Linked DNA regions of Canis lupus familiaris. The protein of the gene in region 3 purifies or fractionates together with the protein of the main gene of each other region. This does not show direct contact. Links are inferred from orthologs where the notes say so. Each region holds a gene or a part of one and is shown on either strand. Other genes may lie near its edges.

The links.
Region 1: the proteins of FAM117B (region 3) and DCAF7 purify together in Homo sapiens (affinity purification with mass spectrometry; 3 studies listed by BioGRID and IntAct, with this or other methods). This does not show direct contact. The link is inferred for Canis lupus familiaris from reciprocal best matches to the Homo sapiens genes FAM117B and DCAF7.
Region 2: the proteins of FAM117B (region 3) and DYRK1A purify together in Homo sapiens (affinity purification with mass spectrometry; 8 studies listed by BioGRID and IntAct, counting the BioPlex papers as one, with this or other methods). This does not show direct contact. The link is inferred for Canis lupus familiaris from reciprocal best matches to the Homo sapiens genes FAM117B and DYRK1A.

Annotation. Positions count from the first base shown.
Region 1 is NC_049230.1:15,360,092-15,367,429, forward strand, and holds the start of DCAF7 (DDB1- and CUL4-associated factor 7), read right to left. Parts: upstream 3,923-7,338; 5' UTR 3,793-3,922; coding exon 3,655-3,792; intron 1-3,654. UniProt on the Homo sapiens protein: Involved in craniofacial development. Acts upstream of the EDN1 pathway and is required for formation of the upper jaw equivalent, the palatoquadrate. The activity required for EDN1 pathway function differs between the first and second arches.
Region 2 is NC_049252.1:32,306,578-32,313,153, reverse strand, and holds part of DYRK1A (dual specificity tyrosine-phosphorylation-regulated kinase 1A), read right to left. Parts: intron 4,647-6,576; coding exon 4,360-4,646; intron 1,858-4,359; coding exon 1,711-1,857; intron 1-1,710. UniProt on the Homo sapiens protein: Dual-specificity kinase which possesses both serine/threonine and tyrosine kinase activities. Exhibits a substrate preference for proline at position P+1 and arginine at position P-3.
Region 3 is NC_049258.1:11,506,885-11,513,460, reverse strand, and holds part of FAM117B (protein FAM117B), read right to left. Parts: intron 4,209-6,576; coding exon 4,065-4,208; intron 2,742-4,064; coding exon 2,516-2,741; intron 489-2,515; coding exon 368-488; intron 1-367.

The DNA.
Region 1 (7,338 bases), on a different chromosome or scaffold from region 3:
CAAAGCCACACAAAACTGGGAAGAGGTAGGACTGAAACCTCAACACCAAATACCTCAAAGGGACTATCTGGTAATAGAGCTTTTTGCATGGGATAGAAGAGCAGAATCAAAGTTCAGGTGCATGTTAGATACAGAAAGATAGAATTCCTGCCTCTGGTCAGCAGATGCCCAAGTAATCCTAGGGTAATGTTCTTAGAGTGCCATCTGGACCACCTATTTCTGATTCAGTTGAGCGTCTGTTAACTTCAGAAGTGGAGCCCAGGAATGTGCAAATCCCTCAGAGGAATCTCAAACACACTAAAATTTAGAAAACCATCACTCCAACACCAATGCTGCTATATCCCCCCGTAGAGACCACAAAAAGATGAAACACAAATATGATAATGAGACTTCTTATTCCAAATGTAGATGATAGAATCTGGCTCTTTACTCTAAAACAATTCCCAAATTTATTCAGATGATGGAACACTTGAAAGTCAAGTTGTTGAAATACTAATAAAATTTATTTCTACTAAACTACAAATACAAATAATTTTACTATAGGAAAAATATGATTACATTACTACAAACCTTTTAGAAATTATAATCATGTATTCTGATGTCAGTGTCTCCACAATAAAAAAGATGACCATTTCTGGATCATCTTTTTTTTTCATCATTTCTTTTTCATCAATGTTAAAAGCTGTGTCCATTTATTTTGCCCTCTGCTGGTAATCACTATCGACAGCAAGCAGGTAACAAAGATCTGAAAATTCCAACCAATAACTTTTAAATTTCTCTAAATTGTGAAGTCCAGCACCTTCTTGGTAAAAGTTTTGTCCAAAACTGAGCCTAAGAGGCATTGTGTTAGAGTGGTATTTACTACTCACCAGCCCCTAGACACAGATCCTTTACATCAGGGTTTAACTTGAGGTCCATGAACTTGAACTGGAAAATCACATTTTGTATTTTCACTAACCTCTGGCTGAAATTTAGCATTTCCTTCCATTATGAAGGGAGACAACTACTGACAACCAAGTCAATATCTGACTTTGTCACTAACAGAAATCATATTTTTATCATATCACATTACTATAATTAACCATCTTGAAATGCTATTTATCCTCACACTACTTTAAAATTATAGTCATATTTACACTGGATGGTGTAATCTAATGAATTAATTAAAGAGTACAGGGGCACCTGTGTGGTTCAGTCAGTTGGGTGTTCAACTCTTGGTTTTGGCTCAGGTCATGATCTCAGGATCATGCTCAAGCCCCATCCAGGGGCTCTGCACTCAGCAGGGAGTCTGCTTGAGATATTCTCTCTCTCTCTGGACCTCCCCCACTCCCTAAAAAAAAAGTACCTGTTACTATAACTCCACTTTTTAAAAAATGTTTTTGATAACTGTAGTTCAATATAATCAATTTCCTTCGTAATCCTATGTATTTTATGCATTTGAAAATGGAATTATGAAAAGAGGTCTACTGGCTTCAGATTCCCAAGGTGTCCATAGCATGCATACGTCCGCATATATACATACACACGTTAAGAACCCTGACTTAGAGAAGTTGGGGCACAAAAAAAGCTTTAAGGTACTGGCTTGCCTACATCATGCCCATGAGTTAAGATAGAAATAACTGCTTATCTCATGATTACTGGGATTATCAGTTTACATTTCACTACTGAGACCCATAGTTCCTGTGTGCCTGGCACAAAGGAGTTCCACTAGGTTGCTAAATGAAAGGACAAACTTTGGGGTAGAGTTCCTATAAGTGAGGTTAACCCCAGTTACTTCACTGATTGTACCAGGAGCCTAACTGTGGCTTAGCTCCTCCTTTCTTAGAAATGAGGCAGCTTCATCTTACCCAAATTGACTCTGAAAGACCTTATGAGAAAAAAGGGGCCACCAATTTGAGTAAAAAAAACTCGAGCCCTATGAAAGATATATTTTACTGTTTTTTTTTTAAACACATATTCTTAAATAATAGTTCTAGTGGTCTCAATTTTACTAACATAGTTTCCACATCAGGACCTTGAATTCCATTCCATTCTGCTATCCACTATGGGGCATAAGGAAGTGGGAGCCAATACAGAAAATAAAACTATGTCTTGCTCAGGACTCTCTGCTTTCTGTAGAAATAGGGAGACTTCAGTATCAGTGTGTAGTCCCTGGGATTTGTGTGTAAATTGTGTATATTATATCGGGGCAATGAGAGTCCTTCGTTTTCATCAGTTTCTCAAAGGGGATTCTAGAGGGACACCTGGGTGGCTCAAACAGTTCAACATCTGCCTTCGGCTCAGGTAATGATCTCAGAGTGCTGGGATAAAGTCCTACAATGGGCTCCCTGCTCAACGGGGAGAGTTTGCTTGTCCCTCTCCCTCTCGCACCCCCAGTTCATGCATGCAAAGTTGAGACCTAGACTCTAGAGAAATGCTTCTGGAAAACTGTAAACAAACTTACAATGCACAAATGTTTTTTGATAAGACCTTTATGTGTAAAAAAGAACTCTTCCTACAACAAACTGTAGGTCAGAAATAATAAGATTAACCTGTGCAACACCCCACAGCTATTTAGTGGACTAGACAGAACCAAATTCCACTTGGCTTTTTCCCCTGCACCATGCCTATCACTGTACACACAGTTTTATTCTTGAGCCATGATGTTCATGGTGTCAAGCAGGAGTTGAAGAAGGCTTTAAACACCACTAGCCAAGGCTCTCAGTTGCTCTGTTCTCACTCTCACAGTGTTTAATACAGCAAGTAGAAAGATTAAGGGATAAAGGAAATAAAATTCTTCCTACGGACATATTCAACAACTTTCAAAAATATATTGATGCTGCAATGTCCGCTAAAAAGATTCTTCCTATTGTCTGTGCATCTATGAAAGATCCTCAAATTGTCAATGTCCAGAAAGTCTTACTACTCAAGTTACACTTTTGCATCAGCATGAAAGAAGCCAAGAAAAGGTAAGGAACGTGTCCTCCTTCTCTATTCTGAAATAGAATTATCTGAAAACGTGGCAGGATCACGGTCACAGAACAAAACTTCCAAAAAGAGATCGCTTTTAAGAGGACAGATACGAGGCAGCAACAGCAGTTAACACTCCCAGCAGAAGAGCCGGGGAGGGGGAATCCATGAATAGCACCTGAGGATGGGAGTAGGAGGCGGGGAAGCCTGCACACTGAACAGCCCTAACAGAAATCTAGCGTGGCCAAGAGTGTATGACCACCGACTGAGGCGCCAGCACCTTTCTTCACAGCCATCCCTCTCTCTTCCCCTGTCCGCCCCCCAAGTTGAAGCAAAGCGGCGGGAAGAGAGAGAACTGGAGTGATAAATGACGTAGCCCTTGGGGGGATAAAGTCGAGTTTGAGTGCCATTTCCCCGCGAAATAACTGTCTGACTCGGGCAAGTCACAACACGGTGCCTCAGTTTCCCCATAAGTAAAACGCGGGGGGGGGGGGTAATTACACTCCTGACTACATAGGAATGCTGTCAGGATTAAACGAAACAATGAGTGCGAAAGCTTCTGCACAGGGCCAGACTCTGACGAACCACTCCGGGAGCGCTAAGGCAAGTCCGCAGCAGGGTCCCGGGGTCTGGGCTCCGGCCCGGAAAGGGTGCTCCCGGGGCCCGCTCCCCGCCAGCTGGGTTCCGAGCCCCTGCCCGGCCCACCTTGTTGTTGTACTCCTCCACGAAGCTGCCCAGCGCCAGACGAAAGCGCTTGTCGGGCCGCACGCTCCAGTTCATGGCGTAGACGGTCCAAGGCGCTTCATACTTGTAGATCTCCTTCCGTTTGCCGTGCAGGGACATGGTGGCGGCGGCGGGGCCGCAGTGCGGGCCGGGACGACAGCGAGCTGCTGCGGGCCGGGCGCGAGTCAGGCGGGGAGCCGGGCCTGAGACTGAGGGGTCCGCAGGGAGGCGGGGAGGGGGCGGGCAGGGACGGCCTAGCCCGGAAGCGGGGCCGCGGCGACAGACAACGACCGCCGGGCCCGACCCCTAGTTTCCAACCCGCTTCGGCTCGGACAACAGCCACCTTCCGTTTGAAGCCCCGCCCCGCCCTCCTGAAACGGAAGCCACGCGACCCCCGTGGCGGCGCCGGCCGTTGGCTGCCTGACTTGTTTTTTCAAAAGGTTCCTTCTCCTCATTGGCTAGGGCAGCCGTAGCTTCTGAAACTCTTTCCTATTGGCGTAAATGTCTGTCATTCCAATGACTTGCCCCGCCCTATTTCGGGGGGGCCGGCGCTTTCTCAGCCCCAAAGGTGATTGGCTGACAGGGATGTCAGTCAGAGAGATAACGGCGCAGTGCGGGTGAATGGGGGCGTGGGTGGCCTGGGGGCGAGCTAGCTGCGGCGGGGGCAGGCCTGCAAATTCTAGGCCAAGTCTCTGAGAGTGAAACCTCCTGCGTGACCTGCTCTGACTTTCTCGCTGCAGCTGACATTCCGAGCGGCTTCTCCACGCTGTCCAGTAGAAATTTACAGTCTCCCTTACCCGGGGGCCTGCGGCCTGACGGCCTGGCCAGAGCCAACGGGAATCACCCTAATCTCCTCCCGTAGACGGGGGGAGCTGCTCTCCCAGGATCCTCAAAGGGCAGGCGGCGGCGGACACGCCTTTGCAGACCGACCTGCATGTGTAGTCAGGCCTTCCTATGCTTTCCTGGCCATTCTAGAAATCCTCCGAATTTCAGCGTTGGTGAAAGTTAAGTCAGCGACCCAACTTGCCCTAAGTTTTTGTCGGTTCCCCTTCATTCCATGCCTTTCCCCGCAGCGGAGCCCAAGGAAAAAGCTGATCAAGCCCTTGCACAGATCTGTGTCCTCAGTTTGAAATGGAGAAGGGCGGGACGCCTGGGTGGCTCGGCGGCGGTTGGGCATCTGCCTTCGGCTCAGGGCGTGATCCTGGGATCTGGGATCGAGTCTTCCATCGGGTTCCCTGCATGGGGCCTGCTTCTCCCTCTGCCTATGTCTCTGCCTCTCTCTCTGTGTCTCTCATGAATAAATAAATAAATCTTAAAAAAAAAAATGTAATGGAGAAGGGCCCGATCTAGGTAACATCTCTTTATAGTTTAAATGGTTTCCAATGCTTTGCTTTCAACACAATGAAAGGAGAATCGTAGGACTAGATGATATCATTAAATATGGATTTAAATATAGTGGACTGTTGAACAACTCAAAGAATTGAGTGGCTGCTATATATAACAAACCCTGTAGTGGTCCATCTACTTTCTTGTTTGAGCACGTTTTCTCTGCTTAAGTTTGTGTGTGTGTGTGTTATTTTAAAGATTTTATTTATTTATTCATGAGAGACACGCACAGGCAGAGGGAGGGAGGGGCAGGCTCCCTGCGGGGAGCTTGATGTGGGACTTGATCCCTGAACCCCGGGATCTTGATCTGAGCCAAAGGTAGACAAGCTCAACCAAGAAGCCACCCAGGTGCCCCACTGCGTAAGTTTTTTTTAAAAAAGGAAAGAAAATGGATATAAAAGTGTTGCTAAACCTTGTCTCGTTCTAATAAAAAAGTGATGTTCATCCACACACGAGCTAATGAAAGGAAAAATAACCCACCCTAAACATGCATTTCCAATAAAATTTTAATTTCTATAAAACTTTTTAATATATTTGGAGCTCCTGGCTGGCTCATGTGGTAGGGCATCTGACTCTTGATGTCCAGGTCCTGAGTTCAAGCCACCCATTGGGTGTAGAGTTTACTTAAACAAACAAACAAAAAACTTAAAAAAGTAATTTTTAAAAATTTGAAATATATTTCTATTGAGCAACTCTGTACTAATAAGCATAATCCTTAAAGCCTTGTTAAGTTTACAAAAAAAAAATTTTAAGATTTTATTTATTTATTCATGAGAGACACAGAGAGAAGGCAGAGACATAGGCAGAGGGAGAAGCAGGCTCCCTGCAGGGAGCCAGATGTGGGACTTGATCCAGGAACTCAGGGATGACACCCTGAGTGGAAGGCAAAAGCAGAAGCTCAGCTGTTGAGCAACCCTGGCGTCTCCAAAAATTTAATTTTAAGATATATATATATATATTTGTTGCAAACAGTTATGATCAAGTTATCAATAATAGACCTTAACATGAAAATAAATTACATGTAGCATAAACTGTGGTAGGAATAGAATGGAATTATGAGAAGAGGAAAAGGAATAATGTTTTAAAAAATTTATTCTCATATTTTTTAAATGAATGATGCTAGGGGCCCCTGGCTGTCTCAGTCGGTAGACACGTGACTCTTGATCATAGGGTTGTGAGTTCAAGCTCCACATTGGGCATGGAGCCTACGTAACAACAACAAAAAAAGAATGGTGTTGGCTCTCAAAGCACTATGCTATGTGGGCCTAATTGGATCAATTTAAATGAAGCAATTTCTAAAGTATCAATATTCACAATACCCTGGAAATTACATGCTTGCAACTGGTTAAGCTTATCAATAAAATACTTCAAGTGTTAATTTAAAAATGTGTATGTGATAGGAGGGATTCATTTTCAAAATTCTTTCAAAGAACACCAAAAAAGGACTGAGGATCGGTGACCAGGTATTTTTTGGCCAGCTTATTTCACTGGAGTGATTAACTGCACGTGCTTTCAAGCCAGACCATCTGGGTTGAAAGTGTGTCCTTCTTTTCCCATGTTAGGCAAGATTCCTTTTTTTTAATTGAAGTATAATTTGCACATAGAAGTGCATGTATTTTCACAATCTGAAACACACTTATGTAACCAGAGACTGGATCGGTAAGCAGAACAGTACTAGCAGGGATGCCTGGGTAGCTCAGCAGTTGAGTGTCTGCTTCCAGCTCAGGGTGTGATCCCTGGTTCAGGGATGGAGTCCCACATTGGGCTCCCTGCAAGGAGCCTGCTTCTCCCTCTGTTTATGTCTCTATCTCTCTCTGTGTCTCTCATGAATAAATAAAATCTTAAAAAAAAAATAGAACAGTACTAGCACCCCAGAAGTTCCCCTTATGCTTTCTTAGCCTCTCTTCTCCTGATCCCTCATCTCTAAGATGGAACTAACAATATGAACCCCATAGGATTGTGGTGAGGCTTAGTGAACTCGTATCTGCAGAGCTGTCAGCAGGGTCCTGGCACAGGGTGAGCACTATGGAAGCTGGCTCTTGTCATGATTCTTGATGGTGACTAAGACAGAGCCTCTCCGTTTCCCTTTACCCCAGCCCGGTTAAAAGCCCCATGCTCCTGGGGCTCCTGGGCCCAGCAGAGTACCTTCAGGTCCACAACACACAAATCCTGTAAGAGGGACTTAAAGAAGACCACAGCACAGTCAAGGACTTGATGACCCTCAGGTAAATAACACACCCAGCCCAACGTGAAATGTGCAGACTTTATTAGCTGTGAGAT
Region 2 (6,576 bases), on a different chromosome or scaffold from region 3:
ATTGAAAATAAAAATTAAAAAGCCTGTAACTTCCACTGTAGTACATCCTAATTCTGTTCATCCATCCATCCATTCATTCATTCCTGAATTATAAACAAACAGAGTACCTCCCGAGTGTCAGGCACACCTCCAGGCACTGAGCATACAATCATGAACAAAAGAGAAACTCCCTGTCGCCCTGCAGTCCCCTCATGCCATACAGGACAGGGCAGACAATTAAACACATAAAATCAAATAACCATCAAAAAAAAAAAAAAAATCCCAGAGGCTTAATAAAGTGTGGACCGAATAAAGTATATTTTTAAGCACAGATTCATTCGCTCAAATACAAGTGTCTACTACATGCTAGAAACCATACACAGAGCAATAAATAAAACAGATAAAAATCACTGCCAAAAAGTTGGTATCATAGAGGGAAGAGATCAATAATAGACAAATACACAGTTAAATATATTTTGTCCATGGCAACTAAGACCTATGGAGGAAGGAAAAGGGATGGAGAGTGACAGGGTACTGTCATCCACTGGTACTAGAGGATCACGGAGAAGACGGAGGAGCTGAAGATCTGTGGCCAGGAGGGAAGAGCCACATGCCCCCTGGGGAAGGGCCTCTAAGGCACAGGGAAGAACTAATGCAAAGGCCTCAGTTAGTCTGGGCCTGTGGCTACTGTTTCCAAGGGACCACAGAGTAAGGCTGTGTGCTGGCAGAGAAAGTAAGGGAGGCAACACTGCACAGAGGAGGCAGGAGGTAGAGGGAGTGGGGGGATTTTCGAGCCACTCAAAGGACTTGGATTTTACAATGAATAAAATGGAAGCCACTGAAGTTTCAGGTGATTTAAGAGAATATAATTGTATTTTATAACGAAACATTATCAAACACACACTATGCCAGTTACTGCCCATGAGTGGCTCACAACCTATAGTTCGAGTGAATTAGCAAGATGGAAGGGACAGGTTTCTGATACGATACTAACAGCTATATAACCCAGTATAAGTAAGTCATTAAATTTCGTTGGCCATTCTCTCTTATTTATAAATGCATGGACTGATCAAGATCTGTAATGCGTAACTTTTCTTTAAAAAATGAAAACTTCACAAGGTTTTAAACCAATGAAAGGCCAATTCCTCTGACTGCCAGAGAGTATGACTCTCCCATGCCCTCCTAGGCACTGGCTCTGATCCCCAAACATCTTCTAAGAACATAGACTGAAAACCCATGAATTAGAATAATTACACATAGTGTGTAGCTCTAAAATTCTATCATCTTAATTCACCCTCAATTATTCAGATCAAATACCCAATTTAAGGCTACTGGTCATCACTTCTTTATTCCAAATCATATTCTCAAAATTTACACAGTGATGTTTACATTGTTTTCAGAGTGTCCCTCAGGCCTTTTATCATTATTTTTGTTATACTGAAAATCTGTAAAATATAAATCAAAAGGCTTAACATTTTCTAAACTAACTTACTGTTCTTACCAGCAAATTAAAAAATCTCACCCCCATCTCAAAATCCTAAATTCCCCATTAGGATAATTGAAAAAATTTAAAAATGGATAAATGCAAATTAAAGACTGACCCAACATTTGAATATTTAAATTGGTAAGTAGGCATCTTTTTCTAAAAAACAATTTTCAGATTACACTGTCACAGATTACAATCAAAAACAAACTGTGAAAAAAGAGTTTTGAAAGCAATCCATTATATACCTCATTGGCTCCACTGAACAGAGGTTCTCCAGTGTGCATTTCAACCAAAATACACCCAAGGGACCACATATCGATAGCAAGGTCGTAAGGCATTCCCAGCAGCACCTCTGGAGACCGGTAAAAGCGACTCTGAATGTACTGGTATATCTGAAATACATGTCAGTATCATGTTAATTCCAGCATAAGTTTTGTTTAATTATGCTCAACGCTGAAGTACATCTATCTAATATTACCAGAAAAAGTAACCACCTATCCCCTGAATTTAGGTTCTGTTGACAGCTTTCAACTTGCTACTACAAATAATGTTTAAATAACTAAACACTTCAAGAGAGCAGTTACTCTTGACTGTGAAATGCAAAACATACACAATTCAAGTCCTTCCATTTATTCCAATCCTAACTGGTAATCAAAATACACACCTTTAAAACAAATAATTATGCCTCATCAGAAAAAAGATTATTATTGAAAACCGTTTGTTTCCCTATTAATTCTTCTTTCCTGCTCCGGCTGGCATTTGGTTAACCATAAATTTAAGGCCTCAATTGTATCTAAATTAACCTAAAGAATGTTTTTTAGCATTAAGTCAAATAGACTCAGTACAACGTAAATGAAAATTCAGATGTACTAACCACACAGATAAATTGGAAAAACAACTGGGAGTCGTTTCTGACCAATCACTTCTTCCCTATACTGTCCCCTTCCACCTCAATCTAAGGCCTCTTAGAAAAAGAAAATCTTGAAATGGATAATTTTCAATGAAGTAATCGAGAATATCTTGAAAGACCAATTCATCTTCCCTTAGCCCCTGTAAATTTGTATCTAGAAATATCATGAAAGCAAAGAAAGTTTTATTTAAAAAGAGAAAGAAACAAACAAAATCCTAATTAAACATCCTCACTTAACACTCAAACTAGGCAGCCATCAATCAGCATGGTGCTGCTTTCTCATGAATACTTTTGTGGCTCCCATCTAAAACTCCAGCCAAATCTCCAAGAGTAATCTGATGCCCCCATAAGCTGGTCACCTCAACCTTAATGCTGTATCAGAGTGAAGAAACTGAAATTCAAAAGGGCCAGGAGGAAGTTACTACATTTCCAAGTTTCTATAGGCCAACAGCATCGGTAAAGCCCCAAAGACTCCCTACTACTGAGATCGTCTTATTGCACAGCTTCTGCAAGAAGTCTGTTTCTCACCTATTCCGTCTGGTTATCTCCAACGCTGTGCACCTAAATCCCCTGAAATACACCAGCCCTGCCACCTTCTGAGACTGAGACTGTAGATCTAGGGTAAGGCCACCACATGTGTATTTTAGAAAGGACCTCTCATTCTAATCTGATAAACCCACATAGTTTAAACCTCACTGAGCTAAAGGGTTAATTGTCTTAGTTTGGCTGGTGAGACATAATAGTATTTGGTATTAGTACAGAACATATGATTTTATTTAAAAGGGGGGGAAATTTTTCCAAATCCAAATCCATTCAAAGGACTCTCAAGATGGGCATGTGTTTTCCACTCACGATATACTTTACCCACATGAACAACTATGCACATCTTCTGATTTTCAGGGGCATCTGAAACTGCAAACTTTGCTTTCTAATCCTTCAATTTATCTCAGTGATTTACAGAACACTGCTACCATGAGTAAGTTGCAGAAAAAAAAAAGCCAGATAACCCTGTGAGCTGACTATAAATCTTCATGATTAAAATAACCAGCCATATTTAAAACATGGGGAAAAAACTGCACAGGACAAGACTCTCACTAATTTGGAAAAAAGAAAACTAGAAAGCCAATACATAATAGTATCTGAATGTTAGTTGTGGTTTTTCATGTTTTTCCCCCAAGAAATGCAGTTTCAGCACTTTCAAGTAAACAGGAACAGGGTTCAAAAACGAACAAAATATTATTAAATGATTTTAATTCCTTTCAAGAAAAGAGTAACCTATCACTTCTGTTTTATATGTGCAACACTGTTAAGAGTAGCTTTTGTAACACTAGAAAGAAGAGCAGGAAAAATCTGGTTTCTTAGCTAAACCTGAATCTATTTATTGCTACAGATAGGTCTGTTTTTAGCAGTCTGAGGAAAACCAGTTAGGACACGTGTCAAAATTTATATAGGGAAAAAGAGACTTACATTTATTTATCAAAACAAGTATGTCTAACCAACTGTGTAATTTCTGTACTATATCACCATGTGTAATGCAAAATAACCTATACTGTAACACATCAGTTTTTAAAGAAAACATTTATTTTGATCTACCTTTCAAGAAGTATTTCATAGCACAGATTCAGTGTTCTAGTACTGGGAAATCCCCAAATTCATACTAAACCCGTTACTTACAGAATATAGCTACAAATCACCTAATATTTAATTCACTCATCTCCTATTCTCTCTCCCTTTTAGGCATACATGACTTTTTTTTTCAAATCCACTTTTAAAAAACTAATACCTTCTAATTCAGAATCTTATATTTGCATTTTAAGAGAGATTTCCCTCACAATAGGCTTAACACAATGTGATTCAAGCGGCACATTTTAAATAGAACCATCCTGAAATTATTTCCAAATTAGATATAAATAATAACACTTCAATATCTAACAACACTATTTTATTTAATTGTCTTAATTCCCAAGTCCTAAAATATACTTACCCTCTGCCCCAACTGACAAGAACTGCCAAAGTCAACGATCTTGATTGCACTGCGTTTGGGGTTACAAAGAAGGATATTCTCAGGTTTTAAGTCACAGTGAATGATACTAAGTTCTGGAGTCGCGAGGAAAAGCAGTGCAGTGCACATCTGCTGTGCAAACTTTCGTGTTAGGTTCAAAGAGACACCTCGAAAATTGGTGTTCCTCAACAAGTCATAGAGGTTGTAGGACAGCATTTCAAAAACTAAACAGAGATGGTTTCGAAACATAAAGTGGCGTTTCAAATGCACTGAAAGAGAAAAAAAAGTTTCATTTTAAATTATACACACCAATAAAATGAGACTAATGTATGCACGAACTCTCAAACAATCTACAACATTTCAATGTCAAATGGAGAGTGAAAATCAAGTTAAAATTTGGAGATCGGCATTCTGCAATAATAGCACAATCTATAATCAGGAATATCTAAATTGTTTGTCTGCTGAATTAAACAGGTGTGGTATCTGCCAATAAGCAATATAATGTTAGAAGTACCACCAAAACGTTTTGTTTAAAAAAAAAAATGAAGTCAGATCTGGAAACACAAGTAGCAAAGTGACAAACAGAACTGAGAATACTTCAGTAACTTTATGCTCACTTCTACAAGAACGCATTTTTTACTTCCTGAGAGCCCAACCTCAAAACTTCATCTAAGCTCCACCCACGGGGATCTCCAGGTTGTGACAGTGCCGTACTTGGCAGCTCTCTCTGGGAAGGCTTTCCGGCTCTGATACATATCCACATTCCGCTGTGCTGAGCCTTACATCTCACTAGTAATTTCCTGCAACAATTGTCAAAGGAAGACATAGATCTTTTTTTCTTTTAGGCAAATACAGCAAATATTTGAAAAGCATGCTTTACAAGATATTAGAGTTCATAATCAAGGCATCTGATTATGTTCATCAAGCTGGTATATGGGATATCTTGTGCAAAACAGAAGGTCTGGGGAAACTTGAAAATGAAGCTCAATCACAAGAATAAATTATAAGACTTATGAATGAAAAAAGAGTGTAAGAAGCCATTACATGCGATCACTGTTGACCCTCTAAAAAGGCTTAATACTCACTAAATTGTTTCAAAGATTGTGCTTTTAGTACTAACACTGACTGCACATCAGATGAGGTCATTCAATAAAGTAGAGTGCTGCCCTTCCCTGTAAAAATCTTATATATACCAAACTGAACCCTTGTAACTCAACTGGAATGACATAAAACCACCATCTGTCAAGGTTACCTTCATTTTGGTCTTTTAGTTTCATAAAAACAAAAGTTTCTCTACAGATCTATCTGGAACTAACTATGGTGGTATTCGATGTCTGGTCCCTGAGAAAGGGGGAATACACTGTGTTGTCCTGGACTGCCTTTACCCCTGAGTAGTACAGCAGTGCATGATTGTTTTTACATCATTCTTGATACATATGATCCAAAGTTAGGATAAAGAACAATACAAATACTAAATGACTCTACAGGAGTCTACAGTACAACTCAACACTCAACAAATAAAAAGAATCTTTAAAGGTTACATAAGAATGTACAATATCTGCTCTTAATAATCACTGAGGTTCACAGGTTTAATATTAAAAACAGCTCCACATGCAATAAAGACCCCCCAGAGGGGATCCCTGGGTGGCTCAGCGGTTTGGCACCTGCCTTCAGCCCAGGACATGATCCTGGAGTCACGGGATAGAGTTCCCCCTGCTTCTCCCTCTGCCTGTGTCTCTGTTTCTCTCTCTCTCTGTGTCTCTCATGAATAAATAAATAAAATCTTAAAAAAAAAAAAAAAAAAAAGGACCCCCAGAGACATGGTCAAGAGTTTTATTTTGATTAGATAGTAGCCACAAAAAGAATGCAAAAAAGTAACTGATGTCAGAATTCCAATGTAATTATAAAAATTCTTTTAAGAAGCTCTGTGATTAGGGGCACCTGAGTGGCTTTGTGGTTGAGCGTCTGCCTTTAGAACAAGTCATGATCCCAGAGTTCTGGGATTGAGTCCCACATGGGGAGCCTGCTTCTCCCTCTGCCTATGTCTCTGCCTGTCTCTCTCTCTCTGTGTCTCTCATTGATAAACAAATAAAATATTAAAAAAAAATAAAAAAGAAGCAGCAGCAGCTCTGTGATTAGAAAGTTCTACAGTGGGGGCGCCTGGCTAGCACAGTCAGTAAAGCACCCAACTCTTGATCT
Region 3 (6,576 bases):
ATTCAAAAGTAATAGCCACAGATGACACATTGGGGACAAGTGAGGAAATATGAAAAGCAACTGGATATTAGTTGATATTAGCGTTGCTGTTAATTTTATTTGGTGTGATAATGATATTATGGTTATAGAAGAGTACTATGGTTACTTTTAGGAAACAAATGTTAAATTCTAATTATCATTAAGTGTCATGATGTCTGCAACTTATTTCCAGAAACTTCAGCAAAAACTAACCACCCCTATGCCAGACAAAGCACATGTTAACAAAATATTTACTCCAGAATCCAGGTTGTGAATATATGGGTGATCACCGTACTATTCAACTTACTTGAAAATTTTCATAATAGAAGTTATTTGGAGGGATACTTACGAGCATTCCTCAAAGACTTTGACCCTTTCACAGCCCTCAGGAGGTTCCCTTTTGAACATATAACTGTTGTTAGGTTTTGGTGAGGTTGCATATTTGGGCAAAGGAGAGTTGTTCCCATTCTCTGCAAAAAACAGCATGCTGGATTACTAAGAAATACTACTCTATAAATGCAGTCATACTATATTTAATTGCTCATGGCCTCCCTCCACACTATGAACTTCTTGAGGGTAAGAAGAGTGTTTATTCATCAACATCACCTCCCAAGATCTAACACAAAACCTGTTAAAGAGGAGAATATTAATGTTTGCTAAATAAATGCATAAACAAAAATTTTTTTTTCCACTTACAATTACTATAGCTCAGGCTGTATCACTTAATCTATGGCCCTTCACACTGATATCTTGCTCCCTTTTTTCTGTTATATACCCAGCAAACAGACTCCAATGCCAGTTCCTTTTTTCTAGTACACTTAACTAAGCTGGTTTTTCACTGGCTGCCTAACATTCACTCTTGGCCTGCCCTTTAGAATTTCTCAATTTGATTTCTCTGCTTCTCTGGTTACAATCTCTGCTCCAGGTCGTCAGGAGTCTTCTATGCACTGTACGCCAAAGACTTCCTTTTGCCTATGAACTTCTCCATACCTGAAGAGGTCCATCTCTATTCATCCCCCAAAATTTCCTTCAAAGTCTAGCTCAAACTTTTGAAATCTCTTCAAATTAACCCTAACAAAAAAATATACTTCTTCGCTCTGGTATTTCTTGTTCAGTGTTCATATTCTCAGTTCCACTACATTAAAATTCCTGATATCTAAGTGTTCTAAATTTTCAGTGTGTCTATGTCAACTAAGCCATAAGTTTTTTGTAGGCAGTAGCACTGTGGCCTTATTTTCTTAGAAATTTCAAAAAACTAACCAGTCACATCTCTTAAAGTCAAATAAACCATTACACAAAATTCATGGAGTTTCAACTCGTTACTGAAAAATAGAAAGTATGGCATATTTTAATAACCATGTTTTTTAAAGGAAGTGTGTATGTGTTACATTTGATTGAGTACTAAGTACCAGGAGCCGTGCTAAATGGTCTGCATTTACTATTCCTTTTAATCCGAACAATAAGTCTAAATAGTACTTAATTATGCAGATTCCTGATAAGAAACACACAACCCAACCAAAGGATTTAATTCTGTGTCAGACCTGGGTGCACATTGGGAGCATCAAAAACTCTTGGAACTTGTATCTCAACCCGCGGGGGATTGTGATATAATTGGTGGAGAGTGCTGGCCTGGAGTATCCATATTTTACTTAATTTAGAAGCTGGTAAAAAAAAAAAGGGTCCAAATAATAACATTTACAACTGCCATAGATAGCTTTAACTGACATCTTCAGGAACTCTTAAGATTGTCTGCACTTGTTACAGTCTCAGTAATTTAGGTGATTGATGGTGATGGTCAATTGTAACTTTTTAGGACATTCAAGGCACTTGTAAGAGGTTTGAAATAAATGATTACTGAGCTCAGCTGCAGAATTTACAAATATATTATTGCCCTCAAGTACACATAGTACCTTGGGTTAGGCTAACAAAATATTGCCCCAATATAGACAGATGACAGGTCATGTTTGTTTTAAAAAGCAAGAGAGGGGCAGCCTGGGTAGCTCAGTGGTTTAGCGCCACCTTCAGCCCAGGGCGTGATCCTGGAGATCTGGGATGGAGTCCCACATCAAGTTTCCTGCATGGAGCCTGCTTCTCCCTCTGCCTGTGTCTCTGCCTCTCTCTCTCTTTCTGTGTGTCTCTCATGAATAAATAAATAAAATCTTAAAAAAAAATTAATAAAAGGCAAGAGAGAACAAAGTGCTTTTCAAGACAAATGTTCATTTATACCAAAAGAATGTCTCTCACTAATAAGGAACTTGCATTAACAAGTGAAGAAAAAGAAAAATTACAAACAAAAGTCGACCCAACTAGACCATCACTTGAGCACTATAGTAAAACTGTTCTGCACTTAAATTTTTAAAAATCTATGTTAAGAATGCATGTCAAAGTAATTACGTTAGTGGCCTTAAGTGTGTCTGTTCTATTACAAAATGAACAGAATGAATGATACAGTAGGTGGTACTCCTTTATCTGGTAACAAGTCCCTCCTGCATTGTACCTTTATCCCTGGGATCAACAAGCAGGTCATCAGCTGAACAAGGGCTCTCTTCGCTACCTTCATTTGAGATGGTGAGGAAGGACGTGGGCGACACAGACTGAGAGCGGCTGCTGTCATTGCTTCCCCTGTCGGCACCCCCGGGGGTCTGCGTGTCAATGCTGCGTGTGCTGCTACTTCTCTGTACCAGCGGGGGAGGTGCACGATGGCCATCTGGAATATCTTGTGGCTGTTATAAAATTTTAAAAACATGTGTATTTATCATCAATTTTGAAATTCACCAGAAATGCACCTAATATCAACCTTCCCCTATTGTTCCAGATGACTCACAGGTCAGAAATGCCCCACTTATTAAGTCTAACGAGAAAAAAGCCTTTGTGTTGCACCATCAGTGACATTCCTGTCTAATGTGACTGCCCTACTGAACACAGAGCAGCAAATGCAAAGACTGTATTCCTAGGGTTAGTCACAGGACAGGTGTTCAATGCTTCCTGAATGATAAATTTCAATGAATTAGTTATCATGTTCTAAATATGTTTAAAATTGTCAAGTACTGCCATGGTAAAAGAGAAAGGAGGAATCTAGGCATAACACTAGGTTCCATATTAGAAGAGAATGTCATCCATTATATGAACTAGAGATACCTGATGACAGGTCCTGTTACCTTCTCCCCTGCCTACATCTCCCTGAGAAAGTTTTTCCAAAGATACCTTCCTAAATAAGGGAAACGTTAATGGTAGCAATGGTTATAGGGGGAAATCAAGGAGAACATTTAGAGGAAATCTTGTGTGGCTCACTTAATAGGAAAACCAGCTCCCCATACACCTTTGGTTCATTTATCTTTATTATTTCAGGGGGTTACTCCCATCATGCAGTATATGGACAAGAGGGTGTGGGAAGTTGTGTCTCCTCCAAGCTAAACCAACCTTTAATCTTCACAGAGAGGATCTTAAGCATCAATAAAATACTATTTCAAACTCCCCGATTCCTCTTTCACTGAAGAATGAAAGCTTAAATATACTCTGTGACATGCTTTTAAATATAAATAGGAAATTTTCTCACTGTGTCTTATGTATGAATCATTCTTATGTCTTATGTGCATTATAGGTAAGCAGAACTGCACTTCATGATCATAAAGTCAACCAAATAGTACTTCACAAACAAGAGGGAACAAGTAGATTCACGTTTAGAAAGTATTTGAAGTCACATCCCTCCCTCCCCAACAAATGTGCAATTTAAATTTTGTTACATGGAGTTATAGTAAATGAGAAGTGTTATCACCTGTCTAATGATTTTTAAATATGGATAAACAAAAAGTAGTTTCTGTTCAAGGATCTAAACTTAAGTCATATCAGTTGTCTCTATGAGATGCAAAGAAATGAAAACTTTTCATTCACTTGCCAAGGTCAAAGTTTTCCAAAAGAGACAAATTTTCATTCTCTCTCAACGAGAAGGAAGAAACCTAAGTAAATATGGAAAATGAAATTGTAACTTTTTAAATAATTAGAACAGTTAACATGAAAGGACAATTTTAAGATACAAGATTACTTACTATAAGTTGTTCTTCCTTTTCTCCAGTCTCTTTAATTATTATTTCAATCTCCTGATTCAATCCTTCCACACTATTCCGGAACCGGGAGCCTGTTGATTTAGTGATGGGAATTACTGGAATAAGTGCACTCTTTGGAACAGGAGCCTGAAGAAAAAAAAAAAAAAACAGTAGAGGAGAGAAAAGAGAGCTTTAATATGTTACCTTTTAATTTTCCGGTTTGAAGCATAATTCCTGCTGACCTGAATAACTCTGAAATATATCAAAATTTAGTTTATAGGCCTCACAAAAAGCATGAGTAATCAAACACTCCTCAGTATACACAAAACATAATTTAAAGTAAAAGCTTCAGACTATCAAGGTAGAATTTCAGAAGTTTATTCACAACTATGAAGACTGTAAAGAGAGTAGGGATAAAGGAAAATATTAAAAGAACGTCAATCCCAGAAATTCTTCTAGGACTGTAACAGAGTTCAGATTTTTAGAACGTAACTTAAAAGTCTTCTAGTGCTCCAATTACCTAAACTCCAGGAAAGAAAATTTTCAAAAGGTGATTTATCAAAGACATAAAATTTTGTTTGGAAAAAACAAAATCAGTTCCAAAGTCCACATACAACAGCGAGAATGCAGAAATGAGAAGAACTTGCCTGTGAAATTTATTTATTCTTCCACTGTGATGATTTTAATATGTTTTGTTAAGGAAAGAAAATGATATAATTCATTTTTCTCTTTTGCCACTGGCATAGTATTATTTTTGAAAAGAAATAACTGATTACATAATTAAAGGATATTACATAGTTTCCTGACAAGATACTTGAAGTAAAATATGAAACAAAAATTACAGAGGTATCTGCTAAAGTTAACAGCAACAGTGTGCCAGAAGATCATTCTGCATATTGTCCTGCTATCTAGTAAAGAAATATAATTAACCCATCCTACATTTAGGGAGGTTTCTTTGAAAAACCTCTTTCAGGGGAAGATGGGCAAGGAGACAAAGGTAATAGGGCCTCCAATCATCACTAGTTCCCATTCAATGGGTATAAGCCTGTTGTCTGATATAAAACTAACTTAGTGTTAAACCTGCATTTCTCCTCTTTCATTCCTGCTCACCTTTATAAATTTTTTTTTCTAAAAATAAGCATAACACAACAATCCCTGGAAAAGGCAAGTCTCTGTCCTTGGAAAATTTGTGAGAAAAATGCCAAGAGGATGCTTCAATCTGGAGCAGACAAAGAAGGGATGGAAGTGAAGAGGGAATAGATAATGAGAAACGTGAGGGTATGGAGAGAAGATTGGGGAACAGAGGGACTAGAAAGGGGGGAAGTCAGAAGATACTACTAGAAGAAAATGATACTTGAAAAAGACTGCGAAAAGACAAAGTGTTTTAAGAATAAAATACATAATAGGGAGAACACAAAATAAAAGTTGTAGCTACTGTTTACTGAGCATCCATCCACTGTGGGCCAGACACCACATGTCCTCTCATTTCATTGTCAGGACCACTCTCTCTGAGGTGGGTTGCAGTGTTTCCCATGTTCCGTGCAGAGAAAGTGAGAGTTGGGGGCCCAAGAGTAAGTAATGTTGCCTCTTAGGCATCTCCTTACTGCCACTGCCTAAAATAGAGTCTGGATCAGACATGATGCTTGTTCAACAAGGCTAGTGCTATGAACTGAAAGTCTGCATCCTCCTTTTAAAATTCCTGTGCTGAAGCTCTAACCCCAATGTGGCTATTACTTGGAGATGGGGGCTATAAGGAAATAATTAAGGTAACATAAGAATGGGGACCTGATCTAATATAAGAAAGGAAATAGGTGACAGGAAACAGATTCCGACTAAGACAGTTAGAGGTTAAAGAAATCTATAGCTCAACTAGTCTGGAGTGGAGAGTGTATTAGAACATTTCTATCACACACTCATCCTACCTATAACTAAACACTTCCTGCGTCAACAAATAATGGCAGAAAACTGGTACAGACCAAGAAAGATCTCAGGGGTTAGTATATATTCACAAATAGATTTTTTTTTAACTCTTAAGCTTAATTTTCTTTTCTCAATGTCACAAACAAAACAAATAGCTTGCACTGGATGCCATTTTCAGGGCACTCCCAGATATGTATTTGGTTTAAAACTGTTAAATTACAGAATTGAAGAAGGAGAATAGAAAGAGAAGATGCTCTGACAAGATTTTTATAAAATGTTGACCCTCTTGGATTTTTTTTTTTTAAGATTTTGTTTATTTATTCATGAGAGACACACAGAGAGAAGCAGAGAAACAGGCAGAGGGAGAAGCAAGCTCCATGCAGGGAGCCCGATGTGGGACTCGATCCGGGACTCCAGGATCACGCCCTGAGCCAAGGCAGACGCTGAAACCACTGAGCCACCCAGGCGTCCCCCTTCTTGGATTGTAGAACCATAAATATCTTAAGAACAGAAAGCTTAAGGTTTCTGGCTGTTATGTTGGGATATGCACATACATAGAAACCTACCAGTGTCATAACCAATTGTACACCTAGTT